Linked DNA regions of Macaca mulatta. The protein of the gene in region 5 purifies or fractionates together with the protein of the main gene of each other region. This does not show direct contact. Links are inferred from orthologs where the notes say so. Each region holds a gene or a part of one and is shown on either strand. Other genes may lie near its edges. The genes, in order: SMARCD1, SMARCC1, SMARCC2, SMARCD2, DPF2, ACTL6A and SS18.

Region 1 (3,942 bases), on a different chromosome or scaffold from region 5:
AGACTGTGGTCCTCCTGGGATGGGACGGCTGACCATCGTATCAGGAATAGTTTGAACCACTGGGCAGGGAAAGAGGGAGGAGTCAAAGGCAACAAAGGTCCAAAACAGAATCCCCATCACAAACAATGCTTTAGAGAGAGAGCAGAGTCAAAATTCAAGATAAACTGGAACTTATTATAAAATCTGAAAGCAGGCTGGCACGGTGGCTCACGCCTGTAATCCCAACACTTTGGGAGGCTGAGACGGGCGGATCACTTGAGGCCAGGAGTTCGAGACCAGCCTACGCAACATAATGAAACCCCCATCCCTATTTTTTAATATTAAAAAAAAATCTGAGGCCAGGCACAATGGCTCACACCTGTAATCCCAGCATTTTGGGAGGCTGAGGCGCGCAGACCACTTGAGCTTAGGAGTTTGAAACCAACATGGGCAACATGGTGAAACCCTGTCTCTACCAAAAATACAAAACAGCCTGGCATGGTGGTGCATGCCTGTGATCCCAGCTACTCGGGAGGCTGAGGTGGGAGGATCACTTGAGCCTGGGAGGCGGAGGTTGCAGTGAGCTGAGATGGTGCCACTGTGACAAAGAGAGACCTCATGTCGAAAAAATAATAATAATAATAATCCGGAAGCAGGTTAGGTCGGAGACAAAGTTAGGTTGAAGTTCCCACGTGAGGTAGTTATTGAGGCACTTTATCTGTGGAATGAGTCCTGGGCTATGAGCAAGAAGACCTGGAATCTTGGCTTCGGCTTTATGACTAACTTGCTGGTTGACCTTTGCCAAGTCGTTCACCTGTGAGTTCAGCTTTCCTATTTGGAAAATGGAATAAACTGTGTTTCCCTCCTCAGCCCCTGATAGTTATAGCAGTAAGAAAATGAAACGAAAAGCAATCAAAGCGTTTTGGGAAGTTAATGCCATGCGCCAAGATGAAGCTATTACTCCAAGCACCTCATCATCAGCGGGCTGGAGTCGGGGTTGAGACTGGGGCTGAGGCTGTGGTCCGTCCCCCTTTCCAGGTCCTTGTCTACCTCCCGTCGGCCTGGGGGCGCCCGCTCACGGGGCCTCTCTATCCCAGAGTTCTTCTCTATGGTTTTCCCTCCAGGACCGTGAAGGCGGGAGGGCGTGGCCAGCACGCCTTTTCCGCTACTCGCTCCTCTCTAGGCGACAGTCTCGCTGCCCTGAGCCTCCCGTGCCGGCCAGCCGGCCGGGGGAACAGGCGGGCGCTCGGGGGGCGCTCAGGGGGCGGGGGGAGTTCCGGTTCCGGTTCTTTGTGCAGCTGCATCGGCGGCTCCGGGAAGATGGCGGCCCGGGCGGGTTTCCAGTCTGTGGCTCCGAGCGGCGGCGCCGGAGCCTCGGGAGGGGCGGGCGCGGCTGCTGCCCTGGGCCCGGGCGGAACTCCGGGGCCTCCCGTGCGAATGGGCCCGGCTCCGGGTCAAGGGCTGTACCGCTCCCCGATGCCCGGAGCGGCCTATCCGGTGAGTGGGGCAGGAGGAGGGACGCGCGGGCCGGGGGCGGGGCCGAGCGGGGACGTGGGAGTGACAGGGGTGGGGGGAGAAGTAGGAGGGACTCCCTTGGGAGGGGTTCGGGCTCTGGGTGGGGGTTGGGGGAGGCAGTGCGCAGGAAGAGAGGGGGAGGCAGTTGGCGTCCACACCTGCTCCTAGGGGCATTGTTTCCGTGGGGAGTCGGTAGAGAACCAGGGTGGGTGAAGTGGGTCCAGGGATACCTGTACGAGGGCCGGAGTGCAGAGGGGCTTGAGCAGCTCCATTGATCAAAGGAACACAGAACGTGTAGTTGACAAATTGAGGTCAGCTTCTAAAGAGATAGTAGCTAGCAGAGTAAATGTGGAACTGGCGATGTCCGATGTGTCCGATCCAAAATAGACCGATAATTTGAGTATAATCTGGCTCTCGCTTAGCTTTTGGACTCTTTATTTTTCTGTGGAGTCACTGCTGGAGCAGAGGGTTCTCGTCTCATTGTCCTCCATTCCATCCGTAAACCTTACTTCATTCAAAGAACTCAGGCGTTCCCTGCTTTTCTTTCTTGGTGGGGTTTAGCAGGTGAAACCATGACATCTCTGGGTCCTCTCCCCTCTGTAGAGACCAGGTATGTTGCCAGGCAGCCGAATGACACCTCAGGGACCTTCCATGGGACCCCCTGGCTATGGGGGGAACCCTTCAGTCCGACCTGGCCTGGCCCAGTCAGGGATGGATCAGTCCCGCAAGAGACCTGCCCCTCAGCAGATCCAGCAGGTCCAGCAGCAGGCTGTCCAAAATCGAAACCACAAGTAAGATGATCCTGGGGCAGAGGGAGGGAGGGAGGGAGCCTGGGAGTACACAGGTGGTGGGATTACCTGAACCAAGAAGTGGTGGTGCTGTGTCAGCAGATGGTGCTACAGGATGATTGAGAATGCTTGGTGGTGGTGGTGGTGGTGGTGGTGGTGGTGGTGGTAGTTCTTTGATTTGAGAGAAGCTTTGCAATCCCTTCACATTACTATAAATGGACATGCTGACAGCTTATTTTCACGTTCTGACTAGTTCTGTCCCAACCTGATAATAGTGTTTATTCCCAACAGTGCAAAGAAAAAGAAGATGGCTGACAAAATTCTACCTCAAAGGGTGAGTCCAGGCTGTTTTCTGGAAAGTGTGGTAGGTTTGAGTATAGAGATGAATCATCCTAGATTTCAATTAATTTTTCTGTTCCTAAGATTCGTGAACTGGTACCAGAATCCCAGGCCTATATGGATCTCTTGGCTTTTGAAAGGAAACTGGACCAGACTATCATGAGGAAACGACTAGATATCCAAGAGGCCTTGAAACGTCCCATCAAGGTAACACAGGAAGTTACTAAGCAGAGAGCCAAAGGAGAGGACCCAGGAACCTTCAGCAGGCTTAGGATGAGAAATCAAAGGCACAGCACAACTCTCCTTGGCATTTAAATTGTATCTTTCCCTTCCGCCTACAAACTGAGAATTACATTAGGAGGATAAGAACAGAATGGCAAAGGGGGAGGGGCTCTTGATGTCTCTTGCACTACAAATATACCCTTGTCCATGTTTTTGCTGTAACTGCTCTGCTACCTTGGGAACCTGGCACCTTGCATGACTTTGTCCACCTGGCATCCCACTGTATGCACTTGTACTTAGGCTGATGGCCAGTACTCCTCTTCTAAATGGAATCTTCATCCACCCACCCAAGGGACTGGGTAGACAGTAAGCCAGTCTGTTAGGAATAATTTTGGGGTTTGGGGAGACTCTTGTCTTCAACATTAGACCACTGAAGCCCCACGATCAATCCTGTTTCTGCCTTCCTCAGCAAAAACGGAAGCTGCGAATTTTCATTTCTAACACTTTCAATCCGGCTAAGTCAGATGCCGAGGATGGGGAAGGGACGGTGGCTTCCTGGGAGCTTCGGGTAGAAGGACGGCTCCTGGAGGATGTGAGTTCAAGGTCCACAGTGGTTGGCATCTAGGGTGGGAGCTGCTGGGAATGAACAGTGTTGTCTGGTCAGCAGGAAGCCTAACTGGTGCTCACAGCTCCTTTTGGGAGCAGTAGGGAGAGGGACACTGTTCCCTGCACTGAAAGACAATGGTCCTTTGTGTTTGCCCCCACACCTTTGGCCTTCACTGGTATCATATGGAGAACCTTATTGTCCTGGGATCTGATTTGTGATTTACCTTCCTCTTGGTGCTGCTGGCCATTGGATTTAGCCGTATCTGTAGATTATTTAGTTTTTGTTTTGTTTTGTTTTTAGTCGAGTTTGCACTTAATTTGAGGCCGTGTTTCCTCTCTGAGTTCTTGTGGTATCTCCATCTTCTCAACTTTCATTGGAGGCACCCCATAGTTTTAAGTAGGATAGATTTCTCTTGACAGGCTCTTTGTTGCTTCCTGGGGAGCATCAGCTGACAGGTGATAGCCCCCAAACTTCCCAACCCAGAAGCTCCTC
Region 2 (3,127 bases), on a different chromosome or scaffold from region 5:
TGGGAGGTGTCTGAATTTCCCCCACCCTCCTTCCAGGCCAACTCCTTCCACGAATTGTTCAGAAGTTAATTTTGATTTCATTGTATTTCAATGGTTCTAATTTTATTTCTTCAGTTAAATAATAAGCTCCTTCCTGGGACAGTTCTATGTCTTATTTTTCTTTCTCCCATAAGTCCCTAGCCTAGCTGGGCACACAAGAGATTATCAATAAATTCTTGCTATTTAAATGTCTCCACCAGGGCCAGAGAGCTTCACTTGAGGCAGTTGCTGACAAACTGGATAGTCCAGGGAGGCCTCCACAGCTCCTGAACTGCAGTCCTTCGATTTTTGGCCCAAACTAGGTCATGTCCTGAAGGGAACAATTAGTATGAGTGTCTGGGACTCTTTCCTATGTCAACTTTAGCTGCTTTAGTGTACAAAGGAACCCTAGAGATCATTTAATCTGGGTTTTAAAAACCCCTAGATCTTGCCAGAATTGAAAACATATGAAACAAAGTGCAGCCTTGCTCACCAATCAATTCACCCAACTCTATGCCCAAGAGGTTTCTACCAAACCCTTAAGACTCTTCAATGCATTTTGAAACTCACTGATCTAATCCCTTGTGTCATCTTTCAGTGGAGGAAATGAAGGGCTGAAGTGGAGAAGCAACTCATCCAGTGTGGCCTACCTAGTATCCTAGAACCAATTCACATGGCTCAGAATTCCCAGAGCACTGACTTATGGTAGGAACCAGGCAGCAGGTGGGAAGGTTCCACCTGAAACCCTCCACATTCTCAACGAGCTCTACTGAGGTCCCTTTGGGAAGGAATCCTGAAGTGCAAAACATGCGTGACCAGCAGGGCATGACAGTGGTAAATTGGTAAAGACCAGTGACACTACCTCTGCAACAGGGATGGAAAACTGGTCAACTCTCCTGACAGGCGGGTTCATTTATGTACGGTTTGCAGGGTGGCTTGGCAAACATTTTCTTGCCAAGAAAAAGAGGTACCAACTGTACTATACAACCTCTGACCACTAGCTTAAGGGAGGTAATTAAAAAAAAAATTGTTGTGATCTTATATACCTAGATAAATTAGTGTCTTTCTTTTGTGTATCTACTTTGTCCCAGACTCTGGGGGCCAGAGAAGAGTAAGACACGTCTCAGTCTGTGAAACCTCCCAGAGTATTACAGTGTACTTAAGGCACATCGTAGTCTCATGTAACCTATGGTAAGTTCTATATGCCTTCATGTAACATTTGCTAAGTTCTATCCAAGTTTTCATTTCTTGTTTTCCCAACTAAAGCTCCTACAGAGCAAGAATTCTTATGCTTCCTATCTTTCTGAACTATAAATAGTAGCTAAACTTTTGGCCACACGTGAACTTCTACATGAACCTAAGATTACAGATGTGGCTGGGGTACCCGACCCACTATTGGCTGCATTTCAGCATCATCCTCACTGGGAAGACCTTCTGGAGTAAAAGGCAGGCCAGGGTCTCTGAAACAACCCTCAGGCCAAGGCTGAAGCCGAGCAAGAGCCTATGGGAGAAATGACCTGGCCTCTAAACACAGCCTCAGACAACTATCACTTAGCAGCACCAGTGCTTTCTTCATTGAGCTTGCTGGGACTTCGTATTTCCTCTCAACACAGACCCCAAATACTACTTTCTTAGCCTACACAGCCACTACTAATACATCAAGAATGGCTACAAGAAACATATGTTATTCCAGCTCTAAACTCACTTCTTTTCTTTACACACATCACTTTTGAACCCTGTATCCACAAAAGGCTGCTGTAGGGAAAATCACCACCAGTAGCTCTACATGTCTGTTGAGAGTCATAATGAGACAGGCTTAAACAGAGGAATATCTTTTTGGCCCCAATGCCGACAGTGCATGCCATAAAGGCACAACCCTGATTAGAAGCATTTTGTCATCTGTGCACCTGTCCATCGGGGTGCCTAAGAACAAAGACTGAAAACTGGTCTTCTAGAAGCCACTGTCACAGACTGCATCATCCATGGACCTGCCAAATCTCGGGGAGAGAACAAAGCCTCCTTCCCTTATCTACAGCCCTCCAGGACAGACCCTGGGATAATGCATCCCCCTACCGTGTTACTTACACATGCCGTTAGGTGCTGTCAGGGATACCCGGGGTCCTAAGATGTTTCCTGGCATTGGAGGCATGCCAGGAGGGGTAGGGCCACTCCCAGAGGGGTGGATGTTGGCTGCAACAGTGGGAATCATGCGGCCTGGCATGTGCTGCCCGGGCATCATGGAACCTGGGCCTGGTATCTGACCTGTGGAGGGAGATTTAAAGTACTATAAGTATACTAGAAAGGGGTATAAGAAAGGGATCAACTTAAATCCAACTCCTAAATACAGATAAATATCCAACCTTCCAGAGGATCTGAAATACCAACAGAGCAATAATCTGTAATAATCTCTACGTCTAGCTTTTTGTATTCTGAGTTTTTTGGAGGAGGGTGTTAATGGGGGTAGATCTGTGGAATGACTGATTATTCTAAACACTGGCAAGAAGGTGGCTGTAAAAAGAAATGGCAAAGGTTCCCTAAAATAAAGCACTCACTCTGGTTAGTTTGGGTGAGCAGTAGATTGTCAAATGTCTTCCTGAGGATATACAATGCCAAGCACAGCCCACAGGGAATGGAGAGGACTTTAAAAGGAAGTCAGTAAGTAAAAGTCAGTAAAAGGACCACAACTCAGTCCAGATTGTGCTCCATGGCTTACAGGGAAGGTTTGTCTGAAAGGGTATTAGTACTGCGAAATCACCATTAAAAGGGGATTCTGATTTGAATCCCCAATTCCTGTCCACAACTATTTCTCCCATTAAAAGCCTCATGTATGATTTAAAAAAAAAAAAAAAAAAAATCATTCCTTATAGAGGTTACTATGAAGCACTCGCCTGATAGACTCATATGGGAAAACACAGACAGCTCCATCTCTTCCTACCGTTTTCTCCCTTTCCCTTCCTTTCATTTCATTTCTTTTTTTTTTGACAGTCTCACTCTGTTGCCCAGGCTGGAGTGCAGTGGCATGACCTCAGCTCATTGCAACCTCCGCCTCCTGGGTTCAAGCAATTTTCGTGCCTCAGCCTCCCAAGTAGTTGGGATTACAGGTGCCCCA
Region 3 (3,944 bases), on a different chromosome or scaffold from region 5:
CGCAAAAAGTGTGGTGGCGCATGCCTGTGGTCCCAGCTACTCGGGAGGCTAAGGCAGGAGAATTGCTTGAACCCGGGAAGTGGAGGCTGCGGTGAGCCGAAATCGCGCCACTGCACTCCAGCCTAAGCAACGGAGCGAGACTCCGTCTTAATAATAAGAAAGAAAAAAAAAAAAAAGCCGTCACGAACAGGATTCGAACCTGTGCGGGGAAACCCCATTGGATTTCGAGTCCAACGCCTTAACCACTCGGCCACCGTGACTTCCAAAACCGCATTTTGCCGCGCGCTTACAGAAGGGGTCCGCACTGCAATCGGGGACTACATGCGGGAACCGGAAGCAGGGTACCGGCCTCGACGCGCACTCACCTGAGGACTCCCCACCCCTTGGTTCCTTACCTCCTATCTACGCCACCCAGAGAAAAAGAGTCGGATGGACCGGGTGACCCAGGGAAGGAGGGTCTCCTGCCTAGCGAAGAGTCGGAGTCTCAAGGAGCTCACACCTACTTAGGAGGTGACAGCGAGGCCAGCGGAGGAAGCAGTTGAGGAAGGCACTGGGTCCCCAAGGTGGCGGCTAGGGGACTTTTGGGTTAACAAGTGAAGGGGTTGCTGGGTGGACAAGCGCGAGGGGTGAGGGAGACTCAGAAAAGTTTAAATGGGGAGATGCTGGGAATGGATGGAAGGAAGGAACTTCTTGGGGAAAGGGTTTTGGGGTTTTGGGGGACGAGGGGCTCCGTCGGATTAGGAATGCGCAAGGTGAGGGCCACTCGGGGCAACGGGTTGGGGCTGCTCCAGCGACTGGCGGCCGCCTGGAGTGGGATAGCGAGGTGACACTAACGGGCTGAGGCAAAAAGAGGGAAGGGCTTCGCGTCTGGTAAGAGGGATCTCAGGAGAATGGCGCCCCCTCCAGGAAGAGTCCTTCTCCCCGGAGGCTCCCGCCGCCGCTGCCGGGTAGGCCACCAGGGTCGGCCCGCGCCTGGAGCTCCTCCGCCGCGCCCGGCCTGCCGGCAGGGGGCGCAGCGCGGACCGGGGCCGGCCCAGGCGGCGGGAGGCGGCGGCCGCGGCGGCGGGAGGCGGCGGGAGGCGGGCGGAGGAGGAGGCGGAGGAGGCGGGAGCTGAGCTGAGTGGGGCGGGCGGCGGCGGGGCCCGAGCCCGAGAAGATGGCGGTGCGGAAGAAGGACGGCGGCCCCAACGTGAAGTACTACGAGGCCGCGGACACCGTGACCCAGTTCGACAACGTGCGGCTGTGGCTCGGCAAGAACTACAAGAAGGTACGCGGGCCGGGCCGGGCCGCGCGGGGACCGGGGGCGGGACAAAGGGACCGCGGCCCTGCAGCTCCGGGATCCTGCCCACCCTCCAGGCGCCCCAGCCCCTCCCCTGCGGCCTTCGGAGCAGCCCCCCGCGCGCCCTCCCGCGCGCCCGCGCCCCTCCCCCAGCCTCCCTCTCCCCGCACCCCTAGCCTCCGAGCCTAGCCCCCGCCCCCACTGCTGCGCCCTCTGCCCCTTGTTTTTCTCTACTGCCCGGCAGGCCCCGGTGCCATTAGCCCACCTTCCCCTCAGCCATCGCCCTCCTGGCTCTTCTGGGAGAGGCGGCCGGCCGGGTGTGGACCGGGTGCCCAATGGGTTCCCCCGCAACCCGGAACGTGCCCGCCAGAGCTCCCCATGGAGCCGGGTACCGGTGGGGCTGAGGCCTCCCCGGTGCTTTGTGTATGTTCAGAGAGAGGATGGAAAGCAGGAGGGTAAACAGTCACAGAGCAAGTCGTTGGCTGCTCATCAGCTTGAAAAAGGTCCCCACCCAGGGATCACCTGTCTCCGCCGCTCATCCCCCACCTTCATCTAAGAGGCAACAGAATCTCTCAGGGAGCTGGGGTATAGGAGTTCCTGGGTAGCGACCCCTTCCAAAACCTTTCCTCGATTTTGCAGTGAAGTCACCCTGCAACCTAGCTTTGCAGTACCGTGGGTTTGGGGTCAAGAGGTTAGGGTGAGCGTTCTATCTCTAGCCCCTCACCCCGAAACCCCATAACTGGCGATCATAAGGTAGTGAACAAAGGGTTTAAGAATCCTTACCTGTCTTTTCTACTAGACCTCTTCGTGGTGTCGTCTTTGTCTCTAGGCCTGGTTTTCCCTGGAAATAGTCTGCCTCTCTTTTTCTCACTACCCTCAGAGAGGGGTTCTCTTTGTGGCTTTCTTTCAGCTCCCCATTTCTTCCTGCCGGCTTTGCAGCTCGTCAGAAGTGTGCTTAGTGGCTTAGGAGAACTTCCTACTGATCCTGATTATGAGCCTAGCCCTGCCCTTGGGGTCTCTCTGGGTGTCAGAATCTTGACAAATAGCTGCTATTTCTATGGCTTGTTTCTATGCCTGTGAGAGGCTCTTGCTTTGACCTTTTGCAGGGAGATCAAGCTAGGGGCTGAGCCTCCGGCCTTGGTGGGGATTGACAACTGTGACCTGGTTCAGCTTCCGTGCTCTTAGCTCTTTGTCATTTACCTTTCCCTTCACATATCTATCTCTCTTCACCTCTCACTGAGAGGCGCTGTCTTCTTTGTGATGAGGGGGGAGAAAACGGGTCAAAAGGTAAAAAGAAAGTCTCCTGGCTCAGGTTCAAATTATAATGGAAGGCTAGGATGCTACTAGGTAGCGAAGTGTGGAAATATTGAGGTAGAGCCAGGGTTACTTGTCTCGGATACAGTTTCCTCAGACAGGGTAGATGTTTTCTTGCTCTTCTCCATCAGGCTGGTGAGGCCCTTCCTGTCTAGGAGGGCTTATGAAGAACTTTATACCCAGTCTTCAGGAGCAAAATGCACAGGCTCACTCTCAGTCAGCTTGCCCTCCTTCACTTCCTTGTACCTTTTCTTGTTAGGCTACATTATAGGGGGAATCATGGCTTTACACAGAGTTCTCCTAAGAAATGTCTCTCTTAGAGCTCCAAAGGTATTGCTTCCATGATCTGAACTCTATAAACCTCCAGAATTTTAACAACCCTCAGTGCTGTTGGTTGAGGATGAGGTGCCAAGATAATAGGGTCCTGCAACTCTAATTTCAGAGTGTAGCTGAGGAAGAGTAGTAAGCTTCCCTGTTCTCCCCAACACTGGCCATCTGGGCTGGTGACAGCAGAATTTCAGCTTCCTGGTTGGGATGTCCAGAGCCTCCCTTTTGCCATTTTCTTTATAGAGACTAAATAGGGAGAAAGGCACTGTTTTCTTTGCTCCAGATACTTCCAGAGCCCCTGGGGGAGAAATGTGGAAGATAGTGGACAATTTATCTGAGATCTATTTTTCTTTCCTTTCCCTCTTTTCCGTTAGTATATACAAGCTGAACCACCCACCAACAAGTCCCTGTCTAGCCTGGTTGTACAGTTACTACAATTTCAGGAAGAAGTTTTTGGCAAACATGTCAGCAATGCACCGCTCACTAAACTGCCGGTGAGTGCAGAAGTAGGAGAGAGGGCGGGGGGTGGTGGTGGTGAGTCCACCAAACTGGAGAGTTGTATTTTAAAAAAAGATTCGTGAATTTTGTAATTTTTGAAATTTGGGTTATTTTCTACCATCCCTATCCCTGGTCAGGGCATTATTGGCTTGGCCTAGTCTCCAGTTTACCATTCTTTTTGTCTTAGTAATACTTTGTGCAACAAATTATTTCAGAGTGCCTGGGATCAGTCCACAAGTCTCTCATGGCATGGTTAAAAGCGGACTTGAGATTTGGATTTGTGTGGGCTTGTGTTCAAATCCTGGCTTTGCTACTTGATGGCTGTGTGATCTTGGGCAGCATTCATGAGTCTTGGTTCCTTCATCTCTAGATGGGATTAGTAAACCTACCTTGTAGGGTTTCTATAATGGCACCTGAGATAATCCAGTAAAGTGTTAGCACAAGGTGGTGCTTTCTGTATATTGGTTTCTTTCACTCCCCTCTTGCAGGCCACATGATGCAATGGCACAAGGGTTAAAGAATTTCA
Region 4 (4,274 bases), on a different chromosome or scaffold from region 5:
TGTTCTAGAAGCTTAAAAAGGATTGAAATGTATATTAGTTGCCTTATCATGAACTCTTAACCCACTTTACAGGGATGGGAGGGGCCATGATTCAGTGACTTTAACAATTCCAGTGACCAGTCCCCAGACTGACAGGTTATCAACTCTTGGGGCAATAGAGTGGTATCTCTGAGAAGTCCAGGAGGTAAGAAAGCAGCAGCAGTGGGGTTTATCGCTAGAGACAGGAGGAGAACTAATTTCTAAAAAGCGTTGGAAAACTATAAAAAATATCTGGGGTGCTATGATGCAAGAAAGGAAGCATTACTTGGTGGGGGCTGAAAAATAAACCAATTATAGTAAAGAAAAAAAAAAAAAAGTCTAGATCCTGGCTTCTTGACAGTATGGTCTAAGAAGCAACAGCATCGCTGGCAGCTTGTTAGAAATGTAGAGTCCTGGGCCCTGCCACAATCTGCATTTTTAATAAGAGCCTCGGGTGTTTTTTATGTGCTCATTAGGGTTTAAGCAGCACTGGGCCGTATCACGGTGAGGAGACCCAGACCATCAAAGGGACAGCTGAAGCATTTTTGAATACTTTGATACAGCACAGTGTATCTGAAAAGATACTGCATTTTTGAAAATTAAGTGCTATAAATACTAGAGAAAGACCTCTTTTTAAACTGCGGGGAGGTTTCTCATAAGCCAAATTTCTTTTGACTAGAAGCATTTGCTGGGGAGTAAAGTACCAGGCTTCCTTATAGTGAGGCAGAGCCACGTTAAAAATGTGCTGTAAGAGCTCAGCCTTGGCCAAGTCGACCATTCACCAGCTGGGTCAAGTCTGGAGCCTCCTAGGTCCCTTGGCAGTTCCGAGCTACCAGGATGAGCTTTTACAGGAAGTTGAGTTGGCTGCTGTTCTGCCCCAGAGAGCAGCTGAGTCTTTTTTCTTTTTTTGAGGAGTTTCACTCTTGCCGCCCAGGTTGGAGTGGAGTGGAGAGATCTCGGCTCATTGCAACCTCTGTCTCCCGGGTTCAAGCGATTCTCCTGCCTCAGCCTCCCGAGTAGCTGGGATTACAGGCGCCAGCCACCACTCTCGGCTAATTTTTGTATTTTTAGTAGAGACGGGGTTTTCACCATGTTGGCCAGGCTGGTCTCGAACTTCTGACCTCAGGTGGTCCACCCGCCTCAACCTCCCAAAGTGCTGGGATTACAGGCGTGAGCCACCGCTACCGACTCTGAGTTGGGTCTTTAATGTGGAAGATGCAGAAAGGAGACTTGACAAAACTATTTTCGGTGAGGCTGCTACACCGGGAAAGAGTAGTAGCAACTGCTCATTCACTGTGAAGCCTCAACGTGACCTTAGACCTCTGACCCCGCGCCTCACTCGGCGCTTCCGCGCGCAGCTTCCGCTCCCGCCCCTCCGATGAAGGGCGGGGCCAAAGGTGGGGGGTGGGACTCTGAGGTCGGCGGTTAGGGGCGGTGCCTGCTGGGGGCGGGTCTCGCGAGGGGCGGGATTCAAGGAGGCACTCGAGCATTGGGCACCAGGTAGAGGCGGGGCCTAGTGCTGGGCTGGGTTGGGCGGGGCAGGGAGTTCGTAGCCGCCTCTGGGTAACTCGACTCGGGCGGCCAAACCTCCGGAGTCCGGGGGCGGCAGGCGGGCCCACAGCAGATCCTGGATCCGGAATCTCCGGCGCAGGAGCGGAATCTGTCCCGAACCGGGTCTGTGAGGAACTCGCGAACTTGGATTAGGAAATCCCGGAGCCCGGATCGACAAATCCCGGAACCCGGAATTAAGATCGCCAAGTCCCGGATCGCGGAGTACAGAGCGCGGAGTGGACTCGACGCGTAGCCCGGAGTCCGGATCGCGGCACCGCGGGACGGGACGGAGCGATGTCGGGCCGAGGCGCGGGCGGGTTCCCGCTGCCCCCGCTAAGCCCTGGCGGCGGCGCCGTGGCCGCGGCCCTGGGAGCGCCTCCTCCCCCCGCCGGACCCGGCATGCTGCCCGGACCGGCGCTCCGGGGACCGGGTCCGGCTGGAGGCGTGGGGGGCCCCGGGGCCGCCGCCTTCCGCCCCATGGGCCCCGCGGGCCCCGCGGCGCAGTACCAGGTGAGTAGGGAGGACGCGAGCGGACGGGGGCGTGCGGCGCCGCGAGGGCGCCCGGGCCGGGGGCTGAGGGGGCCTCGAGTGAGGGCCTTGGGGAATGCATGAGGAACTTTGGGAGACGGTGGAGGGCGGGCCAGATCCCTCGGGCTGCGGCGGGTGGCGGTGGAGGAGTGGGGAAGGGGGAGCGAGTCCTGCAGCGGAGGGCTGGAACCAGCTGGGAGGCCTGGGGGCTTCCGCGGCACAGAGATTCCGAGTGACTGGGAGATGGAGGAGTTTGGGGAACCAGTGAATTGTGGGCGGGTGGGTTGAGAAGTCTAGGGTAGGAGGGCTAGAAAGTGATGAGAAAGTTTGGGAAAGGGCCCTCGCTGAGAAACCGGGGTTACCCTGCATCGGCCTTGGTCCCACTCCAAGTCTGCCCTGTTTTTTCTGGTTGCGAACTGGCCGAGCTCTAGCGTGTCTGAGATGGCTCCCGGCTGCTAATGAGGAGGAAGGAGCCTGGCTTCCCACGGGCACGGGACGCTGAGGCTAGGGCCAGGGGATTCATTCCAGCTTGTGCACGGGCGGACTTTACTCCAGAGGCAGGGCCAGGCGCCTTCGCTGGGGAGGACTCCAGCTTAGACCAGAGACGGTGGTGGCCAGGCTTGAGGGGAGGCCCAGCCTAGTCACAGGCCGGCTCTCTTCTGGGCTTTCTGCCTCCTGTCATCGTGTCGGGTAGTTGATTAGTCTGGACGTGCAGAGTGGAACCCTGCTGGTCTGGGGCCCGAGGAGTCTGCGAGAGTTGCTTCAAAGAGTGCTGTCCTGACCCCTTTGGGGTTTTGAGAGCTGCTCAGGTTTCAGCTTCAAAAGCCCTTGGAAGGCAGCGACTTCTGCTCAGTGTGTGAGAACCTCAGCCTGACCCTGCTGGTCCCCTAGTCTGCTGTTCAGGTTGCACCAGCAGGCTTGGAAACTGTGCCCATCTGCCTTATCATCCTCTCTGCATTTTTATTTGGCCTTCAGGTTCTAACTCCGCCACATCCGAAGCCATATGCCCCAGCATTTGACACTGGCTTCTCCCAGGGTCTGCTGTGGGCTTCCTCTGTTTTCGACTCCTGTCTCCAGGCGGAGGTCCTTAGGGATCCTCGTGGAGTATACACAGCCTACCTGCCCCACTGGGCCTCACATCTAAGGAGATGGCTTAACTAGGGACAGTGACTGGATTTTTTTCCCTTCTTCCTCCTCATTCTTCCTCCTTTCTCAAGAGAAAACAGAGTCTGGATATGGGCAGAGACAGACCTGGTCCCAGGGACTCCAGCTGGGGCTCATCTTTCCCACCCTACTCTCCCCCTTGGGGATTCATGGGCCCAGGGTGTTGCTGAGGGCTCCCTGCATCAGTCATTGTAGCCCTTGGGCCTGCCCACTGAGACCTGGCCTGGGCACCATCTGTGGGCCTTTGGCCTTGGAAGGACCTGGAACAGACAAGCCGCTCCAGTTTCCTTGGCATGCAAAAAGTCATAGGAAATGTGCCCTTGAGACAGCCCCTAAGAGAATGGATTCCACATGTTTGGTGGGGGGTGGCCTTGGGCTTGTGGCAAGGCCAAGCTGGCTGGCTGGTTAGGCCTGGGCTGCTAGCTGTGGGGAAGTAGGAGATGGCCCTGAGTCTGGGTTTCCCATCCCACTAGCTTTCCTCCTCCTGGCAGGAGAGGTAGATGGTACAGAGAACCCAGCCAGCTAACTTTGGCTGAGTTTGAAGAGGATCCTACTTGCTCTCTTTCCAAGTCCAGTTGTATGACTTCCAGGGGGGACTTGAGATCTGGGAAACAGAGGGGTTCCTGTCTGTTAGGGCTCATGAGATGTGCTGGAAAAGCGAGAATTTGAGGCCCAAGCTGAACAAATAGTTGAAAGAAGGGAAGTGATGACCTCCCTTCCTCCAGAGGGTGGTTCTGGCTGTGGATCACAGTTAACAGAGGAACCTAAAACAAAAACAACAACAAAAAACCCTCCAGGGCAGGATGTGGTGGCTCACACCTATAATCCTAGCACTTTGGGAGGCCCAGACAGAAGGATTACTTGAGATCAGGAGTTCAAGACCAGCCTAGGCAACATAGTGAGACCATAATTTCTCAAAAAAAAAAACCCAAAAAAATTTAGCCAAACTTGGTGGTGTGCGCTTATGGTCCCAGCTAGTCGGGATGCTGTGGCAGGAGGATTGCCTGAGTCCA
Region 5 (4,231 bases):
CCAACGGTGTAATGGGGGTCGACAGGCCCATGAGGACAGAAAATAGATCTCTAAATCTGCTGAAAGGGAGGTCGTGGTGACAGGAGCTGTTTCAAGTGAACAGGTGGGAACAAAGTTCCCATTAAACTGGATGGAAGCGGGACCTAGAAACAAGGTAACAGAGATAGGGAGTACTATTTGCTTTTAAAGGGTGAAAAGAGGTGATAGTTGAAGATTGACTTGGGCTGTTTTTTGGTTTTTGGTTTTTGGTTTTTTTGAGACAGAGTTGGCTTTGTTGCCCAGGCTGGAGTGCAGTGGCACAATCATGGCTCACTCACCTTCGACCCTCCTGTGCTCAAGCAATCCTGTCACTTCAGCCTCTAGAGTAGCTGGGAACACAGGTGCACGCCACCACATCCGGGTAATTTTTAAATTTTTAGTAGCGAAGAGGCCTCGATATGTTGCCCAGGCTGGTCTCGAACTCTTGAGCTCAAAGCAATCCTCCTGCCTCTGCCTCCCACGGTGCTGGGAGCCACTGTGACTGCCCTCCTCCTGCTCTTTTTTTTTTTTTTTTTTTTTTTTTTTTTGAGACAGAGTCTCGCTCTGTCTTCCAGGCTGGAGTGCAATGGCATGATCTCAGCTCACTGCAACCTCCACCTCCCAGGTTCAAGCGATTCTCCCCCTTCAGCCTCCCGAGTAGCTGGGATTATAGGTACCTGCCATCATGCCGGGCCAATTTTTGTATTTTTAGTAGAGATGGGGGTTTCACCACGTTGGCCAGGCTGGTCTCGAACTCCTGACCTCAGGTGATCCACCCGCCTCGGCCTCCCAAAGTGCTGGGATTACAGGCCTGACCCACCGCGCCCGGCTCCTGCTCTTATTTTTTTATTTTATTTATTTATTTTTTTGAGACCGAGTCTGGCTCTGTCGCCCAGGCTGGAGTGCAATGGCGCAATATCGGCTCACTGCAAGCTCCGCCTCCCGGGTTCACGCCATTCTCCTGCCTCAGCCTCCCGAGTAGCTGGGACTACAGGCGCCCGCCACCACGCCCGGATAATTTTTTGTATTTTTAGTAGCGATGGGGTTTCACCCTGTTAGCCAGGATGGTCTCGATCTTCTGATCTCGTGATCCGCCCGCCTCGGCCTCCCGAAGTGCTGGGATTACAGGCGTGAGCCACCGCCCCCGGCACCGCCTCCTGCTGCTCTAAATAGAAGAGGCGGCCCTCGAACCGAAGCTCCGGGACGCACGCCAGTCTCCGGTTGCGCCTGCGCGTCGGGCTCCCGTGGGGTCCTACCCGGCCCCCGGGAACAGGCCTAAAGTTCTTTCTTCGGTGCTCGCTCTCGTGCGCGCGCCCGGACGGCGCCTGCGCAGAGGGCGAGGAACCTGGTACCCCGGTGCGGTCCCGGCGCCTGCGCGCTGCGGACTTTGGGGCCTCCCGGCCCGAGGGAGAGGAGCAGGGAAGATGGCGGCTGTGGTGGAGAATGTAGTGAAGCTGTGAGTGGTGGTTTCTTTCTCTCCTAGGGCGGCAGGTTTTGTAAAGGGCCTGGGAGTAGGGGGCTGTGGGGAAAGGGACTAGGCGGAGAGAGGGACATCCCCGGGAAGGCCATGTTGCGACTCCTGGTGGGGAGGGCAATAGGAGACTCCGGAGAAGACGTTGCGCTTCTTTGGAAACTTGTGGAGGCCCTGATGGGGGCACACTGGAGCCCCGACGGGCAGCCTCTCTGCTGGGCTGTGTGGCCTCAGCGTTCCTCGGGGCTGACGGTTTCCAGAGCATGGCGCCCTGCCTGCACGCGAGACTCACCGTCCCGGTCCTCTCCCGAGACGCCTCAGTCCGGAGGAGCGGGGCCGAGGCCCGGGCGGCCCCACGGCTAACCCGCCGCCCATCCCGCCCCGTCCCGTCCGCTGCAGCAACAGGCTCGGTGGCCCCTGTGGGGTGCACTGCGGGGCTGGCTGTTTCAGTTCCAAGCAGCCCCGTGATGTTTGGGAGGATCTTGGGTGGCAGGTACCTAAGACTACAAATATTCTTGGGAAGCATTTGTCGAGGAGCGGATCCAAAAGGGGAGTGGGCCTTGGCGCCTTCCAGTGGCAACCATCAAAAACCTGCAACTGAACCAAAGCCGTTCAGGACAGCTTAGTAGCCTAAAGGGGCATCTAAGTGGGCATTCTTCCTATGATGCGATACCGTTGTGCTGGTCAGATTTCAAGCAAAGTTAAAGTTAATAGCTGTTGGGGCCATGGACACTGACCTATGAACTGCTTCCTGTGAGTTAAAGATACTTTGGGACTGACTTGATTTATTCCTACAGGAGAATCAGAATGAGTTTTAGATTGGGTTAATGCCCGGTGGGCGAATAGAGCTTCTTTTAATGGGTATATTGGGCTTGGTGCAAGGGTGGGAAAATTGAGTGGTGTCTAACTGTCCAGTCAGGGTTTTTGGATTTTGGCTGGGTGATGAGGTAAAGGTTCGGTAAGTATTCTAAGGGACTCACAGCTTCTCATCTGTCTTTGTCGTGGCCTGAGCCCCTCTCTTCCTAGGGGCCTTTTTAAAGAGTAAGTTGCTTCTCCCTCCTGCCTGAAGCCTTTTCTTTGAGAATGCTTTCCCACTTCCATTAAGCTAAGTGCCTTTCCTCCTCTTGTGGTTTTTTTTTTAAGTTGCTTTCTGCTCTATCCTGCTGTCTCTTTCAGCCACCCCTCCTCCCAACACTATTGTCTTTCTGATCTGCCCACTCCAGTTTCCCCAGCTCTCTCTTCAGGCTGACATTTTTCTCAATTTAGAAATGACACTGTTGATCTACCATTTATCCAGTTATCCTTTCTGACTCAGATGTTCTTTCTTTGTTTCCCTGTGTCTTTGTTGACTTCCTTCATCCCATTGTAAGGGGATGTTTTACACAAGTTTCTCCAAAAATAAAAAGAAAGATTCTCATTGTACTGGAGGAGTATCAGACTTGCCTAGGTTTTGAGAGTTAAACGTAGTGAGGCTCTTTGTGTTGGAAGGTTTTCCTCGGGGAAATAGGGTTGCCAGTGCTTTCAAGTTGTGTCATAAGTGAGGGGTTGCCCATTTAAACAGAGCATGACATCTTGTTTCTCTTTGAAAAACTGTAGAGGTTGTGAGCATCACCAGCCACTAATTCCTGAATGCCAGTAATGAGAAACCAACTCTCTCCTCCTCATTTCTAGCTGCACAGGGCCTCAGATCACAATTAATACGTACTCCCGCAGAATTATCCCTTTAAGAAGGGGCTTCCATTCTTCCAGTTAATTTGGAGATAATTTTCTGGCACTTCTCTTGATTATAGTGTACGTAGTCTTCTGACAGCTGATGTTATACATTGAGTATGTTGAGGTCGGACCACTGGCTCATCTTTTCTTTTTTTTAATTTTTTTAGACAGAGTTTCGCTGTTGTTGGCCCGGGCTTGAATGCAGTGGCACGATCTTGGCTCACTGCAACCTCCGCTTCCTGGGTTCCAGCAGTTCTCCTGCCTCAGCCTCCCGGGTAGCTGAGATTACAGGTGCCCACCACCACACCTGGCTAATTTTTGTATTTTTAGTAGAGATGGAGTTTCATCACGTTGGCCAGGCTGGTCTTGAACTCCGGACCTCAGGTCATCCACCTGCCTCGGCCTCCCAAAGTGCTGGGATTACAGGCGTGAGCCACCGCGCCTGGCCTTAAGAATTTTCTTATTTGTAAGTTTCTGTCCCTGCCAAATGTGACGTCAGAAATGGAAGTCTTGGCTGGGTGCAGTGGCTCACGTCTATAATCCCAACACTTTGGGAGGCTGAGGCGTGCTGATCGCTTGAGGTCAGGAGTTCGAGACCATCCTGGCCCACATGGTGAAACCCCATCTCTACTAAAACTATAAAAATTAGCCAGGTGGGGTGGCACACACTTGTAGTCCCAGCTACTCGGGAGGCTGAGGCACAAGAATCGCCTGAACCCAGGAGGCGGAGGTTGCAGTGAGCTGATGTCACACCACTGCCCTCCGGCCTGAGTGACACTTTAAGACTCTGTCTTAAAAAAAAGAAAGAGGCGACTGGGCGCGGTGGCTCTGTAATCCCAGCACTTTGGGAGGCCGAGGCGGGCGGATCACAAGGTCAGGAGATTGAGACCATCCTGGCCAGCATGGCGAAACCCCACTCTACTAAAAATACAAAAATTAGCTGGGCGTGGTGGCGTGCGCCTGTAATCCCAGCTACTCGGGATACTGAGGGAGGGGAATCGCTTGAACCCAGGAGGTGGAGGTTGCAGT
Region 6 (3,500 bases), on a different chromosome or scaffold from region 5:
CCACAGCATTAGGTGGAAGCTATTTCCAGGATTACTGAAGCACATCCTCTTGTCTGCCCATTCTTTACACTGTTGATCTAATAATCTTTCTATTTTTATTTATTTATTTATTTGGTAGAGATGGAGTTTCACCATGTTGCCCAGGCTGCTCTCTAACTCCTGGACTCAAGCGATCTGCTTGCCTCGGTCTCCCAAAGTGCTGAGATTACAGGCATGAGCCACCATGCCCAGCCTCTAATAATCTTTCTAAAGTGCTAGTCTGCTTTAAGCTAGAATCATCTTCTACATTTCTTCCTTTTACTTTCAGACCGTACTGAGGTGCTTGCAGTTCTCTGACCTCGCTGTGTTCTCTTGCCTCCTGGTCTTCCCACATGCTCCTACTCTTGCCCATATTCCCTTCCCCATAATTAACAATTGGATATCCCAGGAATAGGCTTCTCTTTTACACCACCACCTTCCCTGGGACATCGTGAGCTTTTCTTTTTACAGCTTTATTGATCATCTACTTCACTAAACAGGATAACCTTCAGGGAAAAGGCAGTTTTGGTGCACCATTGTGTGTCTACTGTGTTAAAGGAATTTTAGTGCCAGGTGAGCAGCCTCCCTCTTTCCTCCCTCCCTCCTTATTAAGCACCAGACTTAGTAGACACCTAATAGATGCTCAGTAAATATTTGATGAATGAGTGAATGCCCCTACTCCTAAACTTCAGTTTAGTATATTCAGGTAGTATAGGCCTTCTGCAGCACAGAATGTGGAAAATGGGATCTGCCAATATTCACCAGCTGTGGAATTCACCTGGCATAGTTTTCCTGCCCATTGAGTTAGAGGAGATAGGAACTGCCATATGGCTTTGCCAAACTGCTGAAACAGGTCCTCTTCAATGCTATGTGAGAATGGTTATAGTCCCTAGCTCAGTTGTCACAACCTCCCACTGTTCTTACCAAGTTTCTGTACATTTTGTTAAATAAATGCATCTCAGTTTGTTGTAAGCGCTTTGATCAGTCTCCAGAGACTTTCAATGATTATGTTAATTTTGACCAGCTTAATAGTAGCTGTTTCTAGGATAAAGGTTTCCCTGAGTTCCTGATACCTCCATTCTAGAATTCCTGCCTCTTGCTATTTGTTCTTAAGCCATAAATATTATTTTATACCAATTTTTATCCCTAGATTCACTGTAATACATTTTTAACTATGAGATAGATGTTTAAGAAATAGTTTCTGAAATATAAGAGCCTGCCCTTTACAATAAACATTATTTTAGCGGCCTTGATACTTTCTTTTCCTTAATGTTTTAAACTAGATTTGCTAATGGTCGTTCTACTGGGCTGATTTTGGACAGTGGAGCCACTCATACCACTGCAATTCCAGTCCACGATGGCTATGTCCTTCAACAAGGTAAATGTATTTAACCAGGATACACTGAGATGATTTTAGGTGTTATGAGGACGCACATAATGAAATAAAATGATGAGTAGCACTTTTAAAGCATATCAGTTTCTGAATAAGATCATTTTTAAGTATGTTAAAAATCTTTAGTATATAATGTGTATTTAAAACTGATGCATTGCTTTATTTATGTGTTGAAGGATAGTTCATTTACCTGAAAAAGTTATTCATATAAATACACCCGTAGGGGAAATTCGTTCTAGGAAGTTTGGACTTAACTGCTCTCTTAGCCTTGTCTCATCTGTTTCATAGGCATTGTGAAATCCCCTCTTGCTGGAGACTTTATTACTATGCAATGCAGAGAACTCTTCCAAGAAATGAATATTGAATTGGTTCCTCCATATATGATTGCATCAAAAGTAAGTATTGAATTTTCTTTCTAGAACTTACCTCTAGCTCCCCCACCCCTATGAAATGAACTCCATTAACATAGCATCTCTTGGTACTCTCAGGAAGCTGTTCGTGAAGGATCTCCAGCAAACTGGAAAAGAAAAGAGAAGTTGCCTCAGGTTACAAGGTCTTGGCACAATTATATGTGTAATGTAAGTAACCCTCATTCTCTTTACAAAAATGTTATAGGCTTTTTGCGTGAGTGTTAAAAAAAAAGTTATATATAGGCTGTAAATCCTTGAGTAAAATATGAGCACTTTATATTTTCAAGCTCTTTTTTTTAAATTACTAAATATATTTTGAAGATTAAATAGAGCATGATCTCAGGATTACACTCTATATTTTTAATGATACTTTACTAACAAAAGAGCTTTGCTGTGAGAGGCATGCTTTTCATATTTGCCAAACAAATGTCTCTGCAAATCACTACATATTCACTTGGATTACTATGGTGAGACCTGGAAGGAATTTTTGTTTTATGCTATTCTGAACATTTTTGACTGAGAAAATGGTTTTAGGTTTTGGAGAGGCCTACTAGTATGTCTCAGTTATGTTCTGTTTCCCAGCATCAGTCAGCCATATCAAAAATGTGTTTTTGTTCAGAACAAGGAACCCATGAGAGATTCTCTACTAAAAACCCATCTCTGAACATATGGCTTACTGATGGGGAAGAGGTTAGTAAAACAACCTGACACCACAGATACACCTTAATTTCTTTTTGTTTTGTTTAAAAAAACTGTTATTTTAGGTTCAGGGGTACATGTGCAGGTTTGTGATATAGGTAAACTCGTATCACGGAAGTTTGTCATACAGATTATTGTCCCCCAGGTACTAAGCCTAGTACCCAATAGTTATTTTTTCTGCTCCATTCCCTCGTCCCTCAGGGAGGCCCCACTGTCTGTTGTTCCCTTCTTTGTGTCCATGTGTTCTCATCATCTAGCTCCCACTTGTGAGAACGTGCTGTGTTTGGTTTTCTGCTCCTGCATTAGTTTGCTAAGGATAATGGCCTCTAGCTCCATCCCTGTTCCTTCAAAAGACATGATCTCATTCTTTGTTTCTTTTTTTTTTCACTGTGGTCTGTATATACCACATTTTCTTAATCCAGTCTTCCACTGATGGGCATTTAAGTTGATTCCATGTCTCTGCTATTGTGAATAGTGTTGCAGTGAACATACGCATACATGTGTCTTTATGATACAGTGCTTTATATTCCTTTGGGTATATACCCAGTAATGAAATTGCCGGGTCAAATGGTAGTACTGGGCCAGGCATGGTGGCTCACGCTTGTAATTTGAGAGGCTGAGGTGGGTGGATCCCTTGAGCTCAGGAGTTAGAGACCAGCCTGGGAATCATGGCAAAACCCTGTCTCTACAAAAACAGAAAAATTAGCTAAGTGGGGCCAGGTGCGGTGGCTCACTCCTGTAATTCCAGCACTTTGGGAGTCCGAGGCGGGTGGATCACCTGAGGTCAGGAGTTTGAGACCAGCCTGGCCAACATGGTGAAATCCCGTCTCTAAAAATATTTAAAAATTAGCTGAGTGTGGAGGTGGGCTACTTGGGAGGCTGAGGCAGGAGAATTGCTTAAACCCAGGAGATGGATGTTGCAGTGAGCTAACATGGTGCCACTGCACTCCTGCCTGGGTGACAGAGTGAGACTCCATCTC
Region 7 (4,144 bases), on a different chromosome or scaffold from region 5:
GTACGGTGGGGCAGTCATGGCTTACTGCAGTCTCCACCCGCTGGGCTCAAGTGATCCTCTCACCTCAGCCTCCCGAGTAGGTGGAACTACAGGTGCACACCACCACACTCAGCCAATTTTTAAAATTTTCGTAGAGCCAGGGGTCTCACTTTGTTGCCCAGGCTGGTCTCAAACTCCTGGCCTCAAGTGATTACATTTTTAAAACAATGTATTTTTCTTTATTTTTCCAATTTATATGAAAAATGGAAATATTTATTTTTTATTATTCATTAACGTTGTGTAACACTTTATATAAACTTTCCCTTTGTGTTATATGGAACTCTAAATTTACAGAATACTTTAAAACCCCACGGCAACACAAAACCGACATTTGTCCGTGTTCCTTCCGTAATTTGAAAATTTTGCCTTTTTCCCTTACACTGACTTGAAGCCTGGCAGCTTGGGCCTAATTTACAAGGCACTAAGCACTCTTAAAAAACAGAGAGTGAGGATGCCCTGTTTCACAACTTAATTCCAAAGAGCCAAGTCAGACGAAATCGACCCACTTTCCTGCTAAGGGTTTGTACCACGAGGCGAGCTCTTCTCTGTCCGCTCCAGCCAAGTTGGCCGATTGCCCCCGAGCACTGGACACAACCTTGGTGTCCCGGTTTCGGGTCAGGGTTACTTTCCAATTGTTATGCACGACTTTGTGCGTGCGTGCGAGACTGTGGACTCGGAGGTGCGCATTTGGGGCGTAGCCGAGCCATTTAAACCAGCGAATCCGCGTTCACCTTATCCTTCCACCTCTGTCCTATCTCGGCAGATGCTCCACGGATTGGCACGAACTCCCGAGTGCTGACCTTCCTCCCCTCTCCGGGCTGCCCGGACATTTCGGGGCAGCGACTTCTTGCCAGGAGGCGTAAGTAAGGATGAAGTTGGAACAACTGAACTAGGTCTAGGGCACGCTCCGCAACGCAGTCGGGGAGACGCTTCAGAGCGCGGCGGGGGAGGCAAGTTGCAACCGCGCGAAGGGGGCGGGCCGGCTCGAGCCGCTCGCATTTCCTGTGACAGGGGCTGCCCCAGCCTCTCCCTCTCCCGCGGCGGCGGGACCATTTCCTGAATCGCTGAAGCGGAGGGAGGACTAGGGCGCGACTCTACCATTAGCGCGAAAGGCCAGGGGGTGCCCACAAGGAGAGGTCGGGGGATGCGAGGACGGTCAAGAAAGTTCGGCCGGGGCTGCGGGTCCCCCAGAGTGCGCAGAAACGAGACGTCCCTGGGCCAGAGTGCCTCCTTCAGGCCTGCCCCGCCGGCCGTCCGCTTGGCCCTGGAGCATCCCCCCTTCCCGCATTCCCGAGGTGGTTCAGCCCGAGAGGCCGGCGTCTCTCCCCCAGTTTGCCGTTCACCCGGAGCGCTCCGGACTTGCTGATAGTGGTGACGGCGGCAACATGTCTGTGGCTTTCGCAGCCCCTAGGCAGCGAGGCAAGGGGGAGATCACTCCCGCTGCGATTCAGAAGGTGAAACCGCGCGGGGTTGGGGATGCCAGGCCCTTCCCGCCTCTGGGAGAGACGGACACGGGGGGAAGGGCCGGGCCCGGAGTCGACCGGGCCGGGCCAGGGGCGGAGGCGGAGGCGGGCCTGCTGGGAAGCAGCCGTGTGTGGGAACCGGGGCTGCGGCGTGTGCCTGAGTTGGTGGCGGAAGAGGGTGAACCGGTTTTTCTCGGAGTCTTTCGCGCGTTTACGCGCTTTTCTACAGACACAAAAGCCCAAACAGCCGCCGCCTGATTTCTCTAGGGATGGGGCGGCGTTCGGGCGGCGGGGCGCGTGCGCCCGGCGGCGGCCGCGCTGGGAAGGGCGTGTGTCGGGCCGGGCCCCGCGCGTTGCTCCGGAGTTACTTTGGCGTCGTCCCGCCCCGCGCGCCGCGGCTGCTTCGTGCGGACCCCACCGCGGGCCGCTGCTGGCGGAGGGAAGTCGGAGCGCAGGTCGCTGCCCTGCAAACTCAGCCGAGTTTGGGAGCTCTCAGGAGAACTTGGGGAACGCTGGAGGGAACCTTAGTAGAGTCTGAGGAGCGGGCAAGGAAGGTCCCCATGGACTCTGAGGTTATCCCCAGAGCCGCCTCTTCCCTTCTACATCGCCGCCTATTCATTTACTTCTGCAGCAAGTATTTATTGAGCGCCTATTTTAGGCGCTGAGGCGACTGTGGTGAGTCATGGTCCCTGCCTTCCTGGAGCTTACAGTCTAGTGGTGGAGACTTCTGTCGTAACCAGTTAATATAAGTCGTGATAAATACAGAGGGAGCTGCCTCCTTTTTAAAGGATAGTGCTGCTACAGTCGCTGCTGTGTTACTGCCTGTCGGAACACAAAGGTTCTTTATTGTCCTCTACCCCTTGTTGCCTACTAGCAAGGCAGCATTCTAAATTTTACTGACCTAGGCTTTCAAAAGTTGCTGCTATATTTAGCAGTTTACCTTAAATATTTTTGTTTTGTTTTATGCCGTGTAGCAAAGATCAAAATAGAAAAAAAGGTCAAGTTTTAGTACCACTCAGACCACATAGATTGTGCTAATCGGTTTCTGTTTACTGTCAGGTTCTTCGTAGTGTGGCTTTTGACATTTGCCCAACTGTTGCTTTATTTTATGAACAAACGGGCTTGGCAGTGCCTGGAAATGCAGTGCTTTCATATAGTACTCTGAGTTAAGTCTACAGCCTGGCAAACAGCTCCAAGTACACACTTACCCAAAACTGCGTTTCTGGGGGGTTCACCTTTTTTTATTTTTGTACACAGGAAAAGTCCAGAGTTTTTCTTTTTTCTATAGTTTCTCTTACATACGTCTTAAGATATTTATCATGGATAATGATTAATTCCGAGTATGGTGATCAATTTTTTTCCATTCTCAGCTGAACAGAAACATGGGCTCCAAATTAAGTTCCTTATTCTGCAATGGGAGAGATTGATATTAGATGTGAGACACATATTTTAATGGTGACGTTCAGTAGTTTGAGGAATATACTGGAGATAAGTTGTGAAATCATTAGGTTGAGGATTTGATTCGTGCATTTTAAAGACTTTTTTTGGTCATACAATGATTCTATCTAAGAAATAACTGCATTTATTAGTAGATCATGTTAGTGGTTTTTTTCCCCCAGTAAGTGAAGATTGTGATTCACGTGCAGAAAAAAAGTGACAGTTAATGTTAAATGGATGTTCCTTTTATTGAGATAGAGTGATTATGGTATTGTACTAATACTTTTGAATCCTGGTAGGGTGGGGCAGGTTCTGGAGGAGCATCTCCTGAGTCCCTTGATCTTGGAGCTGAATCAGCCTCTGAAAACTTAAGTGACTTGCTCAAAATGGCAAAACTGGCACTGAAACTAACTGGCCTTTTAATTGCTACAATCAGTACTCTTTCTTCAGCTCCACTTTACTTAGATGAATTATTTAACCCTCAAAGCCAAGATTACTTTGAATTGTTAAAAGATGATGGAATGATAAATCGGTATCTTTTTCCTCTTAAACTTTTGAGACAGCGTAATTATGAAGTAAACTCATAAAGTCTGTAACAAATATTATACATGCATAGAAATTACTATGTTTAATTATTATCTCATAATTGGAGAATCACAAAACCATGCTGTTATAAAACTTGGAAACTAGCCAGTTACTTCATCAAGACTCCTGGGCTGAAGTTTTCATGTATTTATTTCATTCTGGAGAAGTACAGAATTTTTCTTTACTAATCCAAACCATTAGAATGATGAAAAGCCAACTCGGACTCTTAACTTTAGTCTTAATTGGCTAAAGCTTCTATTACAGATAGCAGAGGTAATTAAATGTTTGATATAAAAGAATTCAGATTTTCGTTTCTGGGCTTGTTTATTCAGAGGGAGAATAATTGGAATATTAAAACGTTATTGATTAAACATGGTATCATTCCAAAGGTGTAAAATTAGGATTTTTTTGTGGTGAGCTATCGTATATATTAAAAAGACCCAAGAGGATTCAATTTCTGTATAGATGCAATATTTCTAGAAATCTGAAGGGAAAAAAACTCAGTTACTGAAAACATTGTCCATATGAACTGTGCATGGCATAATTTTACAAGAGATTTAAACAGTACGTAATGAAATTTTATGCAAGAGAGCTGCTGATTCACTAATCTTGCTTTAAAT

Evidence for each region.
Region 1: the proteins of DPF2 (region 5) and SMARCD1 purify together in Homo sapiens (affinity purification with mass spectrometry; 9 studies listed by BioGRID and IntAct, counting the BioPlex papers as one, with this or other methods). This does not show direct contact. The link is inferred for Macaca mulatta from reciprocal best matches to the Homo sapiens genes DPF2 and SMARCD1.
Region 2: the proteins of DPF2 (region 5) and SMARCC1 purify together in Homo sapiens (affinity purification with mass spectrometry; 9 studies listed by BioGRID and IntAct, counting the BioPlex papers as one, with this or other methods). This does not show direct contact. The link is inferred for Macaca mulatta from reciprocal best matches to the Homo sapiens genes DPF2 and SMARCC1.
Region 3: the proteins of DPF2 (region 5) and SMARCC2 purify together in Homo sapiens (affinity purification with mass spectrometry; 8 studies listed by BioGRID and IntAct, counting the BioPlex papers as one, with this or other methods). This does not show direct contact. The link is inferred for Macaca mulatta from reciprocal best matches to the Homo sapiens genes DPF2 and SMARCC2.
Region 4: the proteins of DPF2 (region 5) and SMARCD2 purify together in Homo sapiens (affinity purification with mass spectrometry; 6 studies listed by BioGRID and IntAct, counting the BioPlex papers as one, with this or other methods). This does not show direct contact. The link is inferred for Macaca mulatta from reciprocal best matches to the Homo sapiens genes DPF2 and SMARCD2.
Region 6: the proteins of DPF2 (region 5) and ACTL6A purify together in Homo sapiens (affinity purification with mass spectrometry; 5 studies listed by BioGRID and IntAct, counting the BioPlex papers as one, with this or other methods). This does not show direct contact. The link is inferred for Macaca mulatta from reciprocal best matches to the Homo sapiens genes DPF2 and ACTL6A.
Region 7: the proteins of DPF2 (region 5) and SS18 purify together in Homo sapiens (affinity purification with mass spectrometry; 4 studies listed by BioGRID and IntAct, counting the BioPlex papers as one, with this or other methods). This does not show direct contact. The link is inferred for Macaca mulatta from reciprocal best matches to the Homo sapiens genes DPF2 and SS18.

What each region holds. Positions count from the first base shown.
Region 1 is NC_133416.1:57,257,752-57,261,693, forward strand, and holds the start of SMARCD1 (SWI/SNF-related matrix-associated actin-dependent regulator of chromatin subfamily D member 1), read left to right. Parts: upstream 1-1,142; 5' UTR 1,143-1,299; coding exon 1,300-1,476; intron 1,477-2,097; coding exon 2,098-2,285; intron 2,286-2,573; coding exon 2,574-2,616; intron 2,617-2,705; coding exon 2,706-2,828; intron 2,829-3,312; coding exon 3,313-3,435; intron 3,436-3,942. UniProt on the Homo sapiens protein: Involved in transcriptional activation and repression of select genes by chromatin remodeling (alteration of DNA-nucleosome topology).
Region 2 is NC_133407.1:110,954,493-110,957,619, forward strand, and holds part of SMARCC1 (SWI/SNF complex subunit SMARCC1), read right to left. Parts: intron 2,281-3,127; coding exon 2,104-2,280; intron 1-2,103. UniProt on the Homo sapiens protein: Involved in transcriptional activation and repression of select genes by chromatin remodeling (alteration of DNA-nucleosome topology).
Region 3 is NC_133416.1:63,339,511-63,343,454, reverse strand, and holds the start of SMARCC2 (SWI/SNF complex subunit SMARCC2), read left to right. Parts: upstream 1-1,144; 5' UTR 1,145-1,156; coding exon 1,157-1,267; intron 1,268-3,294; coding exon 3,295-3,414; intron 3,415-3,944. UniProt on the Homo sapiens protein: Involved in transcriptional activation and repression of select genes by chromatin remodeling (alteration of DNA-nucleosome topology).
Region 4 is NC_133421.1:73,636,762-73,641,035, reverse strand, and holds the start of SMARCD2 (SWI/SNF-related matrix-associated actin-dependent regulator of chromatin subfamily D member 2), read left to right. Parts: upstream 1-1,474; 5' UTR 1,475-1,863; coding exon 1,864-2,157; intron 2,158-4,274. UniProt on the Homo sapiens protein: Involved in transcriptional activation and repression of select genes by chromatin remodeling (alteration of DNA-nucleosome topology).
Region 5 is NC_133419.1:9,062,655-9,066,885, reverse strand, and holds the start of DPF2 (zinc finger protein ubi-d4), read left to right. Parts: upstream 1-1,431; 5' UTR 1,432-1,442; coding exon 1,443-1,474; intron 1,475-4,231. UniProt on the Homo sapiens protein: Plays an active role in transcriptional regulation by binding modified histones H3 and H4. Is a negative regulator of myeloid differentiation of hematopoietic progenitor cells. Might also have a role in the development and maturation of lymphoid cells.
Region 6 is NC_133407.1:91,585,643-91,589,142, forward strand, and holds part of ACTL6A (actin-like protein 6A), read left to right. Parts: intron 1-1,301; coding exon 1,302-1,396; intron 1,397-1,699; coding exon 1,700-1,806; intron 1,807-1,899; coding exon 1,900-1,989; intron 1,990-3,500.
Region 7 is NC_133423.1:66,321,113-66,325,256, forward strand, and holds the start of SS18 (protein SSXT), read left to right. Parts: upstream 1-1,344; 5' UTR 1,345-1,424; coding exon 1,425-1,493; intron 1,494-4,144. UniProt on the Homo sapiens protein: Appears to function synergistically with RBM14 as a transcriptional coactivator. Isoform 1 and isoform 2 function in nuclear receptor coactivation. Isoform 1 and isoform 2 function in general transcriptional coactivation.